3 linked regions of the Ovis aries genome follow. Each later gene encodes a partner of the first gene's protein in a complex. Links are inferred from orthologs where the notes say so. Each region holds a gene or a part of one and is shown in the gene's direction. Other genes may lie near its edges. The genes, in order: PARD3, CDH5 and PRKCZ.

Evidence for each region.
Region 2: the proteins of PARD3 (region 1) and CDH5 are in contact, whole or in part, in an NMR structure (PDB 2KOH), measured with the Mus musculus proteins. The link is inferred for Ovis aries from reciprocal best matches to the Homo sapiens genes PARD3 and CDH5. Residues at the interface, in NP_296369.2 of Mus musculus: Ala599, Gly600, Leu601, Gly602, Val603, Ser604, Val605, Lys606, Gly607, Arg609, Lys611, Lys622, Ile625, Asn655, Gln656, Met659, Arg663, Met666; in NP_033998.2 of Mus musculus: Tyr774, Gly775, Asp777, Gln779, Glu780, Glu781, Leu782, Ile783, Ile784.
Region 3: PARD3 (region 1) and PRKCZ share a complex: the UniProt entries of both Homo sapiens proteins name them as parts of the par polarity complex. The link is inferred for Ovis aries from reciprocal best matches to the Homo sapiens genes PARD3 and PRKCZ.

Annotation. Positions count from the first base shown.
Region 1 is NC_056066.1:17,899,217-17,902,865, forward strand, and holds part of PARD3 (partitioning defective 3 homolog), read left to right. Parts: 5' UTR 1-190; coding exon 191-316; intron 317-3,649. UniProt on the Homo sapiens protein: Adapter protein involved in asymmetrical cell division and cell polarization processes. Seems to play a central role in the formation of epithelial tight junctions. Targets the phosphatase PTEN to cell junctions.
Region 2 is NC_056067.1:33,719,202-33,722,850, forward strand, and holds part of CDH5 (cadherin-5), read left to right. Parts: intron 1-735; coding exon 736-852; intron 853-1,719; coding exon 1,720-1,884; intron 1,885-2,688; coding exon 2,689-2,876; intron 2,877-3,649. UniProt on the Homo sapiens protein: Cadherins are calcium-dependent cell adhesion proteins. They preferentially interact with themselves in a homophilic manner in connecting cells; cadherins may thus contribute to the sorting of heterogeneous cell types.
Region 3 is NC_056065.1:49,930,803-49,934,451, reverse strand, and holds part of PRKCZ (protein kinase C zeta type), read left to right. Parts: intron 1-1,657; coding exon 1,658-1,789; intron 1,790-2,365; coding exon 2,366-2,447; intron 2,448-3,649. UniProt on the Homo sapiens protein: Calcium- and diacylglycerol-independent serine/threonine-protein kinase that functions in phosphatidylinositol 3-kinase (PI3K) pathway and mitogen-activated protein (MAP) kinase cascade, and is involved in NF-kappa-B activation, mitogenic signaling, cell proliferation, cell polarity, inflammatory response and maintenance of long-term potentiation (LTP).

The DNA of each region.
Region 1 (3,649 bases):
AAGATACCATCATAGCTCCCGCCCTGGACCCATGCTGGGAGTGTCCTGGGAGGAGGAGGGTGCTCCACCTCTGGCATCAGCAGTCCCAGGAAACACTGGGACAGGCCTTTCCACCTCCCGAGTGCCTGCAGTTGGAGCCACGTTCTGAGTACCAGCATCTGCTGTCCCCCATCTTGGGGCCACCCCTGTGATGTGGTGGTGCTGTGGCCTTCCTCGCCGGACCCTGCGCAGCGGGGGCTATGCTGAGTTTGAGTGTAGGGGCCACAGAGTGCGGCTGGATGGCTGTGTGCCCAGGCTTCTAAAAAGGAGACCCCAGGTAGGTGCAAATTATCTAACTATCAAAACCCACCGTTTCCTCACAGTCTCCTCTGTTAGTTCACGAGTCATTCTTCTGATTCAGTCCAGTTGGGTACTGCCAGATGTAAGGAATTAATTGTGGATTTTTAAGCAACTTGAGATAACATCTTTAAAGAAAGATGGGAGGTGGTTTTTGGATTAAGTCATAGGATGGGGGTGTCGAGAGCTGCTTTGGGGTCAAATTTGGTTGGTTTGTTTTAGAATTTTGCACTATTAGAGTTTATCATGTTTCAGGGAGGCTTTCTTTCTGTCGGAGAAATTCCTTTTTGTCTGAGTCAGCCTCTCTTGTTGGCTGGTTGGGGAGTAAATAGGAGAGGGGAGGTTTTTCTTTTGTGAAGCTGGGTAAGAACCTTGAGGATCTCTTAGGTTGGTTATTTCTTTATAAACAGTAGAAAAACATTCAGCATCTTAGTTCACTTTAGAAGATCTCAGTTGTTGCCTGATGTGTACAGGTGCTGTGGGCTGCTGGTGCCCCAGGATGGGTCTCTGCCCTGAGGGGTCTGAGGCCTGGTTTTAATGGTTGTATGTGTGTGCTAAGTTGCTTCAGTTGTGTCCGACTCTTTGCAACCTTATGGGCTGTAGCCTGACAGGCTCCTCTGTCCATAGCATTCTCCAGGCAAGAATACTGGAGTGGGTTGCCCTGTCCTCCAGGGGATCTTCCCCACCCAGGGGTCTCTTATGTCTCTTGCATTGGCAGGCAGATTCTTTACCACTAGTGCCACCTGGAAAGCCCTTTAATGGTTATGGGATTTTTGCTTTTTTCCCTGCAGCTTGGAATCCAGCACTTACAGGTGCCGACATGCTTCTTAAATCTATATGTCTTTATAGGTGACACTGGGGGTAAAACATTACTTCCTTAAACTGAAGATAGTCTAGTCTATATACGTGTAGACTTGGGTTACATATTTTTCGTTGTTATTTTTTCCCATTCTAAGTGAAAAAAAAAAAAAAAAGAATGAAAGAAAGAAAAGACAAGACTCTATCCTGATCAGATTTTCCCTTCCTCGTGTGTCCTCCTAACAAATCCATTTGATCCTTGTGCAAGAAGCAGTGCGTCCAAAAGAGCAGAGCAGTCACTGAGAAGTCAGAGTGACATCTGAGCTGAAATGCCCTTTCTCTTCCATGATCTCAGACAGGTTGGGTTTCCTGCTCCCCTGGCCTCACACCTGCACATGGAGCCGGAAGCATTTACCTCGAATGAATGTCCTGAAAACCATTGCTGTGCATGAGTGGCCCCATGCTGGCCCCTCGTGGAGTCGGGAGGGTTAGGGAGGCCCAGGGAGGCCTGGTGCAGGCGCCCACCTTCAGCTCTCTGGTGGTCCCCAGGCCTGGAAGGAGAGGCTTGGAGCTGGGGAGGACACTCCTGTAGGTCCATATTGTTTTTCGGGTCTCAGCCTCATTTACTGTCTCACGCCCTTTCCTGGTGCCTCTGGCCTATCAGGTGACAGTACTGCCCACCGTCTGCCCTGGGCGTCCTGACCCTCCCTGGGACGTAATCGGGGAGAACGTGGCTGGCCTCAGTAAGCTGTTGTCTGGCTCTCCTTTTCCTAAGTTGTAAGCAGGTGTGACCAGCATAAACTCAACTTCTGCCTGGTCCTCCAGGCCAGCGGTGCTGGGGATGCAGCTCTGCGCGTGAGCATGAAGGTGTTTCTGCAGGAAATTGGGTTCCTTTACGTTGGGAGGATAAAGTACCTGGAAGGCTTCTTTCCCCACAGCTCAGGCCATCTGGAGTGTCAGCCAGGATAGTCACACTGAGGTTCTTGAGCAAGCTCTGCCTGAAGTCAGAGGATACAGGATAAAGGGAGCGTTGATCCCAACAGGCGCCCGTGTCCATGGGGTTTCTTTTGGTGGTTAGGGGAGCATAAGCCTCTTCGTGGATTCTAGTTTTCCGAGAAAGTCTTGTTGAAATTTCTTTTTTGTCCAATTGGGTTATTTATTATATGTATTTTATACATTATTTGTGCAACAGCATGGTGTTTTGTTCATTGTTTTGTGCTAAAGAGCAGAAGATGATCCCTGCATTTGGGGAACTTATCTAGAGATAAAAAAGTATCTCCATGCGTGTGCAAGGAAACAGGCTATCATGTGACACCTCTGTGGTCTGGATGAACACCTTGGGGTCGGAGGGCATTTCACGGGGAGGTGGTTGTGATCTCTGTGGGAGAGGGAAGGACAGCCTGGGTCACTGGAATTGTGGGGTGAATGCTCTCAGCTGTGTGGAGGGGAAGGGACCAGTGTCTACTGAGCACCTGCTCTGTCTCGGGCTTGGCTCTGGGTGCCTAGGGTAGGATCCACAGAGAGTCCGGAAAAGCAGGCTTGGAGAGTGTTGAGTGCTTGGCCGAGGACGTTGGGTTTTAGTGGTTAGGATGTAGTGAGTCACTGGAAGTGACTCATCCCAGGGCAGGGACACGATGAAATAGGTGTTTTGTGAAGATGAATGCAGTCTCAGGATGTAGAGAGGATTAAGACAGGAGCCTGGAAGCAGTGAGATGAGTTAGAAGGTGATTCCATTATTGAGAACAAGAAAAGAAGGAAGGGGAAAGGAAGGGATGTATTCACTTGTTACTTAAGGTGATAAAATTATGAAATTATACATATATGTTTCTTATGGAAAATCAGAAGGGTGGCCAATTGAGTTTAGCAGTTCTTTCCCATTGTCTGTGGCTGCAGATTCTACTTCAGACTAAAGATGAGATGCTACCTTTCATGGTGTTCTGTGCACAGCATTTAAATTGCGGTGCAGTATTTCATGGATTATATGTCCTCAATTTCTAATTGTTGGGTGTGTAGCTGCTTTCCTATTTTGTAGTACTGTTTATTAAAACATCTGATTTTCTATATACATCTTGACCATGTAGACAAACATTTTAAATTCCTGGGTCACATACTGATCACTTCCAGGAAATTTTCTGTTAATTAATTCTGTCATGATAAGACAGATTCTTCAATTGTCCCAGCTTTTTGTTTTTTAAATAAAATTTCTCTCCAGACGCAGGGTCCACTTCAGTATCATACATTGCATCTAGATACTAGATACTGTGCATTCAAAAAAAAGAAATCAGTGCAGTTGTGTTATTAAGGTCTCAACTTCTGGACTTGTCTGGTTGTTTCCTTGGGGTGTCATTTGACTTTCCGTCCCCTGTATTTCCTGTGGGGAGGTGAGGTTTATGGCTTGCTTAGGTTAAGTCAGAGGAGGATGGTACTGCCAGTAGGAATGAAGACAAGATGTTGATTTTATGGGCAAGATAAGGGATAAAAGCTTCATAAATTAGAATTAAAATAGGACCTGATG
Region 2 (3,649 bases), on another chromosome or scaffold:
ACACACACACACACACACACACACACACACACACCTTGTTACTCTTTGAAGCCAACCCCACCCACTGCTCTGACTCTCAGGGCTGGCATGCCGAGAACATAGACTTCACACATGAAGGAGGCCAACTCTGCCATCAAGATAAGGGGTTACCTTTAGGGTCTATTTAGGAGTCGCGGGGGGAGCAGTGGAGAGGGACACACCTCATCCCCAGGTATGTCACCAGCCTGGACCCTAGGCCCCCAGAGGAGACTATTTCTTCCTCAATTCTACTCCCAGCCTCCAGGGGATGCAAGAAAAGAGCTCCCATCCCCACCCCTTCGTCCAGGCTCTCTGGTTAGGGCTCAAGACCAGACCTTCTTGTTAAGCCTGGGGAGCCTGGAGTTCAAGGGGAAAGACATGCGACACCCAGTCTTTTGGGACCCTTCCTATTCTCTTGTTCTCATGCTTCCAGGAGCAAAAATAGAGCAGCTCTTCCTCTGTTTCTCTCCATGACTGCAGACACTCACCCCTCCCCTCATTTCCCCCATAAAAGAAAACCACTGCTCTCTTCACCCTACATGTTTGACTGGCTGGGCCTCCGCCACTGTCAGCACTTCAGCGCCAGGCAGGCTCCTCAGAAAACAGGACCCGGGAGAGGGGGTTCAGGGGACAGCCTGAGCCCCATCTGCCCTCATCTGGGAATGGGGTGAGGGGCTGGTGGTCACAAGGCAGTAACCCTGGATTCTCTCCCGGCAGGGACCTCGGTCATCCAGGTCACAGCAGTGGATGCAGATGACCCCACAGTGGCAGACCACGCTTCTGTCGTGTACCAGCTCACAAAGGGAAAAGACAGTTTCGACATCCGTGGCCCTGGTCCGTGTGACTAACCCCCCTGGGCAGCACTGGCTTGGAGCGGGTGGAGGTGTAGGCACAGAGGGAAGCCCAGTCTGACAGATGTCACCAAACACTGACTCGCAGTGTCCTGTGGAGGCGGTCGGTACCACGCGTCAAGACAAGGGGGCTGGTGAGGGCAGGAGGAGGCAGACAGGTGCCCAGGATGTAAACTCAAGTCCAGGGGACAAAAATCCACCCAAGCAGTGACACGAGAGGCAGACGAGAAGGCTAGTTAGCAGCTCTGGCTATGGAACCACACAGATCTGGTTTCCAACCCCATCTCTGCTGCTCACCACTTCTAAAGACCTTGGGCAAATCAACCAACCTCTGAGCACTGGCGAGTCCTCATGGTGAAAATGGGGAAGGTTATATGCACGCACCCCATACAGGAGCTGTGAAGTCTGAATTAGATGACGTATAAAGAGCATGTGGCTCGTTGTCATTAGCTATCACATGTGACCTAAAAAAACTGTAAGGACTGAGTCTTTGGAGAAAGACAAAAGTCCAAGTGGTCAGGCCTGGGGCATGCCACCATTCAGAACAATGGCGAATACACAACCTATGCTGCACTGAGGCATAACCCATCACAGCACTTTGCTCACTCTGAGCCTAGATGTGGCCTCAGGCTCTTTCTCGGCCCACAGTGGACAAAAGTGTTTGTGTGGCTTTGGCCTGACAGTGCAGGGCGTGGAGATGGGTGGTGGATGTCCCCTGGCTCTTGGCCCTGGCTGCACAGGGACGTCACCCAGGAGCTCTGAAGTCACGGCTCTCTGGGTAGCGTCTGGGCATCCATATTCTTTAAAAGTTCCTCAGGTAGCATGGTTCCTGACAGGACACATTTTGCAGGACTCATTGTCACCATGAACAAACACCTGGACCGAGAGACGCAGGATAAGTACGAGGTTGTGGTGGAAGCAGAAGACGCCCAGGGCCGCCGGGGGGAGTCAGGCACAGCCACTGTGTTCATCACTCTGCAGGACGTCAACGACAACTTCCCCATCTTCACCCAGTGTGAGCCCCTCTCCCTGGGCCCTGGTGGGGGCGGTGCTCTCAGGGAGGAGCCTGGCATCCATCCACCTCTCCCTCCACCCCAGAGTGAGCCTACATCAGAGATGGCTTCCCGGCGCTCCCCGTCTCTGCACATACTCCCAAGGCTGCACACCTGGCCTGCCAGGGCGCCCTCTTGGGCCAGCAGCAGATCATACTCTCTGTTGTGTCCCACATGCCCAGAGTCCCACTAACAGACAGGACCAGTTTCACCCAGTTTCCATGAGCTTGGGAAAACCCACGAGCTGGGGAGCCAGGGTTCAGCAGAGCGCCAGAGCCAGGGCTGGGCCCTGACCCACCCACAGACTGACTCTCCCCACAGGAAAATGTCCAACAGGAGCTCTTCACACGCGCTGGGTGGGGAGGAGGTCAGATAGGCTCATCACCTGCACCTCCAAGGCTGATGCCACTCAGAGGCTCAGCCACTGCAAGGACAGGCCAGCGTGCCCTGAAATGACCTCACTGTGAATGGTGAAAGCTCCTCAAAGGCAGGGCTTCTCCTCTTGGCAGTTGACAGATCCCCCAGCAAAGTGCCTGACATACAGGGGGTGCTTGATAACTACTTGTCAGATGGATGAAGGGATGAAAGGACAGATGAGTGGAACCTCTGTGCCTTGAGACCCAAAATTCCAGAGGAATTACTACTACTGCTTCTGCTACTTTATTGTGCCTGTTGCTTGTATCAGAACATACTGGGATAGTATATGCGACAATTACCTTGTCTACCTCATTAACCCCATGCCCTTTGGGGCACCCCTTCTGCATCAGCCAGGTACACATTTTCTGTGCCAGAAGACATCCGCGTGGGCAGCCCCCTGGGCTCTCTGTTTGTTGAGGACCCAGATGAGCCCCAAAACCGGAAGACCAAGTACAGCTTCGTGCAGGGCGAGTACAGGGACACCTTCACCATCGAGACGGACCCCACCCACAACGAGGGCATCATCAAGCCCATAAAGGTTCGCAGGCCTGCAGCTGTGGCATCAGATGGGGGACTGGGGGCCCTGGCATGCTCAGGACTCAGCCAGGGGCTGCTCCTGGGTCAGAGGCCACCAAAGGTCCACGTTTGGGCCAGCGTGGAGCAGGCCACGTGCTCGTGGATCCTGTGACCCTGGAGCTGGGACGTGGAGCCACGAAAGAAGGGTCAGTCCCTTGGGCTGGGCTACCCCAGAACCAGACCTTGAGGCAAGGACTTAGGTGTATACAGCTCATTTGGGGGGTGATCTCAGGAAGCCCCCAGGAGCAGTGAGATGTAAAAGGGAGGAGAGTTAAGACAGGCTCCTTAGTGAGCAGGTGATCACTGTGGGTGAGTGGGAAACGGTCCCACTGGGGACATCTAGGCAACTATGCGGAACATGCTTCTGAGTCGCAGCAGTTGTGGGCTGCCTGAGGGCTCCTGGGGGCCCACTTCCTGGCACTTTCTGATCTGCCCTGGGCGCTGGCGAGGACAGCCCTGGTAGAGTACAGGTGCTTGCAGCCAAAAGCTGTCAGTGTGTAAGGACACAGTGAATACCATGGGGATGGGGTGCCCACTGGCAGTGGCTGCTGCAGAGAGGGCAAACCAGCTGAATCTAGAAGAGGAGACAAGGTCTGCCGGGGGCACAAACTGCCTCCAGAATGGCCACGCCGAGGACTAGGGGGCCCAGGCCAGGGATCTCCTCCTCAGAGGGGACACTCGAACCTGTGTACCTGAGCCAGACCACTCCTCCAGCAGACCTCTCTGGAGTCCTTT
Region 3 (3,649 bases), on another chromosome or scaffold:
GGCCATGTCGCTGTGACTGAGATGTACGTACTCTGTGTGGAGGAGAGGCTCCTTCCTGGGGGGAAATGAGCTCCTTGTGCCCACTGGCTGCCAGTAGCCGGTCCTGCACCCTTAGCCCACTCTTGGGGAAGATTTGCTCTGGTCAGTACCAGTACAGTGCATCCTTTCTGTTCTCCAGGAGTAATTTGAAACTTTCTTGAAGGAAAGAAATTTGTTAAACATGGCAAAAGAGGGTAAAACATGTAAATGAGATATGGCTGGAACAGAAGTAAGCAGGAGCCTGCCAACGTACAGACACCATGTAACCAAGGAGACAGCTTGGGCTCCAAGTGGTGGGCAGGTGACCTCACTTCTGGACACACTCATCTTTGCATTTTGTGACTTCCAGAATTACAAAAACCTCACCAAACGAGCCAGTCATGATCATGAGTTTCAAGCGTTTATAACCAAGAGGAACAAAGATTGACCATTTAAAATATTTTTAAAATGCTGAGAAAAATACAAGGGTGGACTCGTACTAGCATGGACACCCACAGGCAAGTCTGGGTCAGCCTCTTGTGGGGTCACTACTCCTTTCTCCTGGGTCCTGGAGTGCACAAGGTTTTGTTTGTGCCCTCCAAGAGTCTGTTTCCCCAGTCCTGTGTAAGTTCTGACGGCTCTATGGCAGAGTTAATGGCGACCTCCTTCAAGAGGGCTTATACCACACCCAGGTCTGCGGCACCCAGAGTCCCTGCCCCTGTCGCAGGCCACTGCTAACCTGTACCTCTGCAGGAGACACTCAAACACTCAAAGGCACTGTGGTGTTAAAGACTCTCTTGAGAGTCCCTTGGACAGCAAGGAGATCCAACCAGTCAACCCTAAAGGAAATCAGTCCTGAATATTCATTGGAAGGACTGATGCTGAAGCTGATACTCCAATACCTTGGCCACTTGATGCAAAGAACTGACTCATTGGAAAAGATCCTGATGCTGGGCAAGACTGAAGGCAGGAGGAGAAGGGGACAACAGAGTATGAGATGGTTGGATGGCATCACTGATTCAATGGACATGAATTTGAGCAAGCTTCAGGAGTTGGTGATGGACAGGGAAGCCTGGCGTGCTGCAGCCCATGGGGTCACAAAGAGTTGGACACAACTGAACTGAACTGAGTCGCATGGAGCCCCAGAGCAGTTCAGAATCCAGATGCATTCAGTTGCCAGGCATGGTTGCCTCTGTGTTTGTCATGCAGGGGTCATGTGGGTTTGGACGAGGGTCATGCAGTGGTCAGGCTCCCCCACGACCTTCTCACCTGGGTCACTTCACTCTGGCGGGGCGCCTCGGCCGATCTGAGCACAGCCAGAATGGATTTGCAGCCCCGCTCCAGGTCCTGCAGGCAAGGAGGCCCTGCCCATGGAGAGGTCTCATTACCTGCCCACAAGGTCCTATGGGAGCATAGCCCAGCACCTCGGGGCCTTGGTTCCCCTAACCTTGGGAAAGACCCAAGTCAGGACTACTGGGCCTGGGTGGGGCCTGGTACCCTGTATGAAGAGGCCTCTTCCTGGCCTGGCTGCATGTCCCCTCAGTGCGGAGGGACCATGGGGGCACAGGTGTGTCCTCTTGGTGTGGAGAAACCATGGGGGCACAGGCCTGGCTGATGGTGCCTGTTCTTGTCCACACAGAGAGCGTACTGCGGCCAGTGCAGCGAGAGGATATGGGGCCTCGCGAGGCAGGGCTACAGGTGCATCCACTGCAAACTGCTGGTTCATAAGCGCTGCTACGTGCTCGTCCCACTGACCTGCAGCAGGCATATGGTGAGTGGACACCTCGGCCGGCTGGGGTGCAGTCCACACTGCTGCCCCTGGGGACCCTTGGCCTCTCCCTGCCCAGCTGGGATGCTAACCCCATCCCTGCTACCCACAAGATGAGAAGAGGGGGTGATGTAGGGGCTGCAGAGTGACGGCCTGGGTCAGCAGTTGGGTCGGGACCTGTTTCCAAGCCCCAGGAGTCCCCCAGCACTCTTGGGGCCCCAGGGTCCACCAATAGGGAGCTGCCTCGATTGTGATGTCAGCCGTGGAACCTGGAGCTGGGGCCTGACTGCGGCCGCTGTGCAATGAGGGCAGGGCTGACGGGACTAAGCGTTGCTATGTGAAAAGACACATTTTATAAGTGCCTGCTAGAAGGGTGGAGCCTGAGGGCTGAGCGGCCACCTCCGCCTGTGGGAACGCAGGTAATTTCAGTGCTCATCTTGCCATGTTCAGGGCGATGCTGTAACAGGTGAATGACGTGTGTTGTGACATCACAGTGTATGTGAAAGTGAGTCCCGGTCACGCAGTGTCTCCAGAAGCCCCGTGTAGTGCTGCCTGGTCACTCGGCCCGTGTCTCTGCAGGATTCCGTCATGCCTTCCCAGGAGCCTGCAGTGGACGACAAGAGCGATGACGTGGACCTTCCCTCCGAGGAGAGCGACGGAAGTAGGGCTGCTGCTCCCACCCCCAGAACCCTTTCTAGATCCTTTCTCCCAGGCCAGGGCCTGTGAGTGTGGCCACTCGCTGCAGGGCTGGGGCGGCCTCTCCAGAGCAAGGGTGGGCGGGCTGCCTGCCCTGGGCGCCCACATCTCTATGCTGCTGCCCATGGGAGTCAGGGTGGGGGCTGGGGTTCCCTCTCTTGCAACCTCAGGAGTTCTAGGAGGCTCTAGTGCAGTGGCCACCACAGATTCATGTCTCTGGAAAGGTCTGCCGTGCCCAGTATTGCATAGTTCTTGGGTTTCAGTAGGTTTTTTTTTTTTTTGGTTGTGGAGAGTTGTTTGTTTTTTTTTTTTTTTTACTGCTAAGAAGCATTCAGAGAGCAATTTTGATTCCATTTGGACTTATGGCCGTGCTCTGAGCTTCTGCAGTTCTGTGCATAGTCACAAGGGTGGACGAGGGCCTAGGCCTCACTCAGTAAACGCTTGTTCCTTCCCCAGGAGTGATGAGAGGCCACATCCACCCACCACCAACCATCCGCCATCCACACACATCCACCCACGCCCACCATCCATATACATCCACTCACTCTCTACCCACCCCCACTGTCCACACACATCCACCCACCACCCATGCCCACCATCCACACACACCCACCCACCACACACCCACCCACCACCCACCCATCCACCATCCACCCCCACCAACCATCCACCATCCACACACGTCCACCCACCACCCACGCCTACCATCCACACACGTCCACTCACTCTCCACCCACGCCCACCATCCACACATGTCCACCTACCACCACCCCCACCGTCCACACATCCACCCACCCACCCACCCACCATCTATGCCCACCATCCACACACCCACCCACCATCCACACACATCCTCTCACTCTCCACCCACCCCCACCATCCACACACATCCACCCGCCACCCACGCCCAACCATCCACACCCACCCACCCACCACCCATGCCTACCAACCATCCACACACGTCCACTCTCCACCCACCCCCCACACCCACCATCCACACACATCCACCCACCTGTCGTCCACATCCACACGTATCTACCCACCCACCATCCACACACGTCCACTCACTCTCCACCCACCCACCATTCACACACATCCACCCACTATCCACGCACACCCACCCACCTGTCCACCCATGTCCACCCACCACCCACCCACCCACCATCC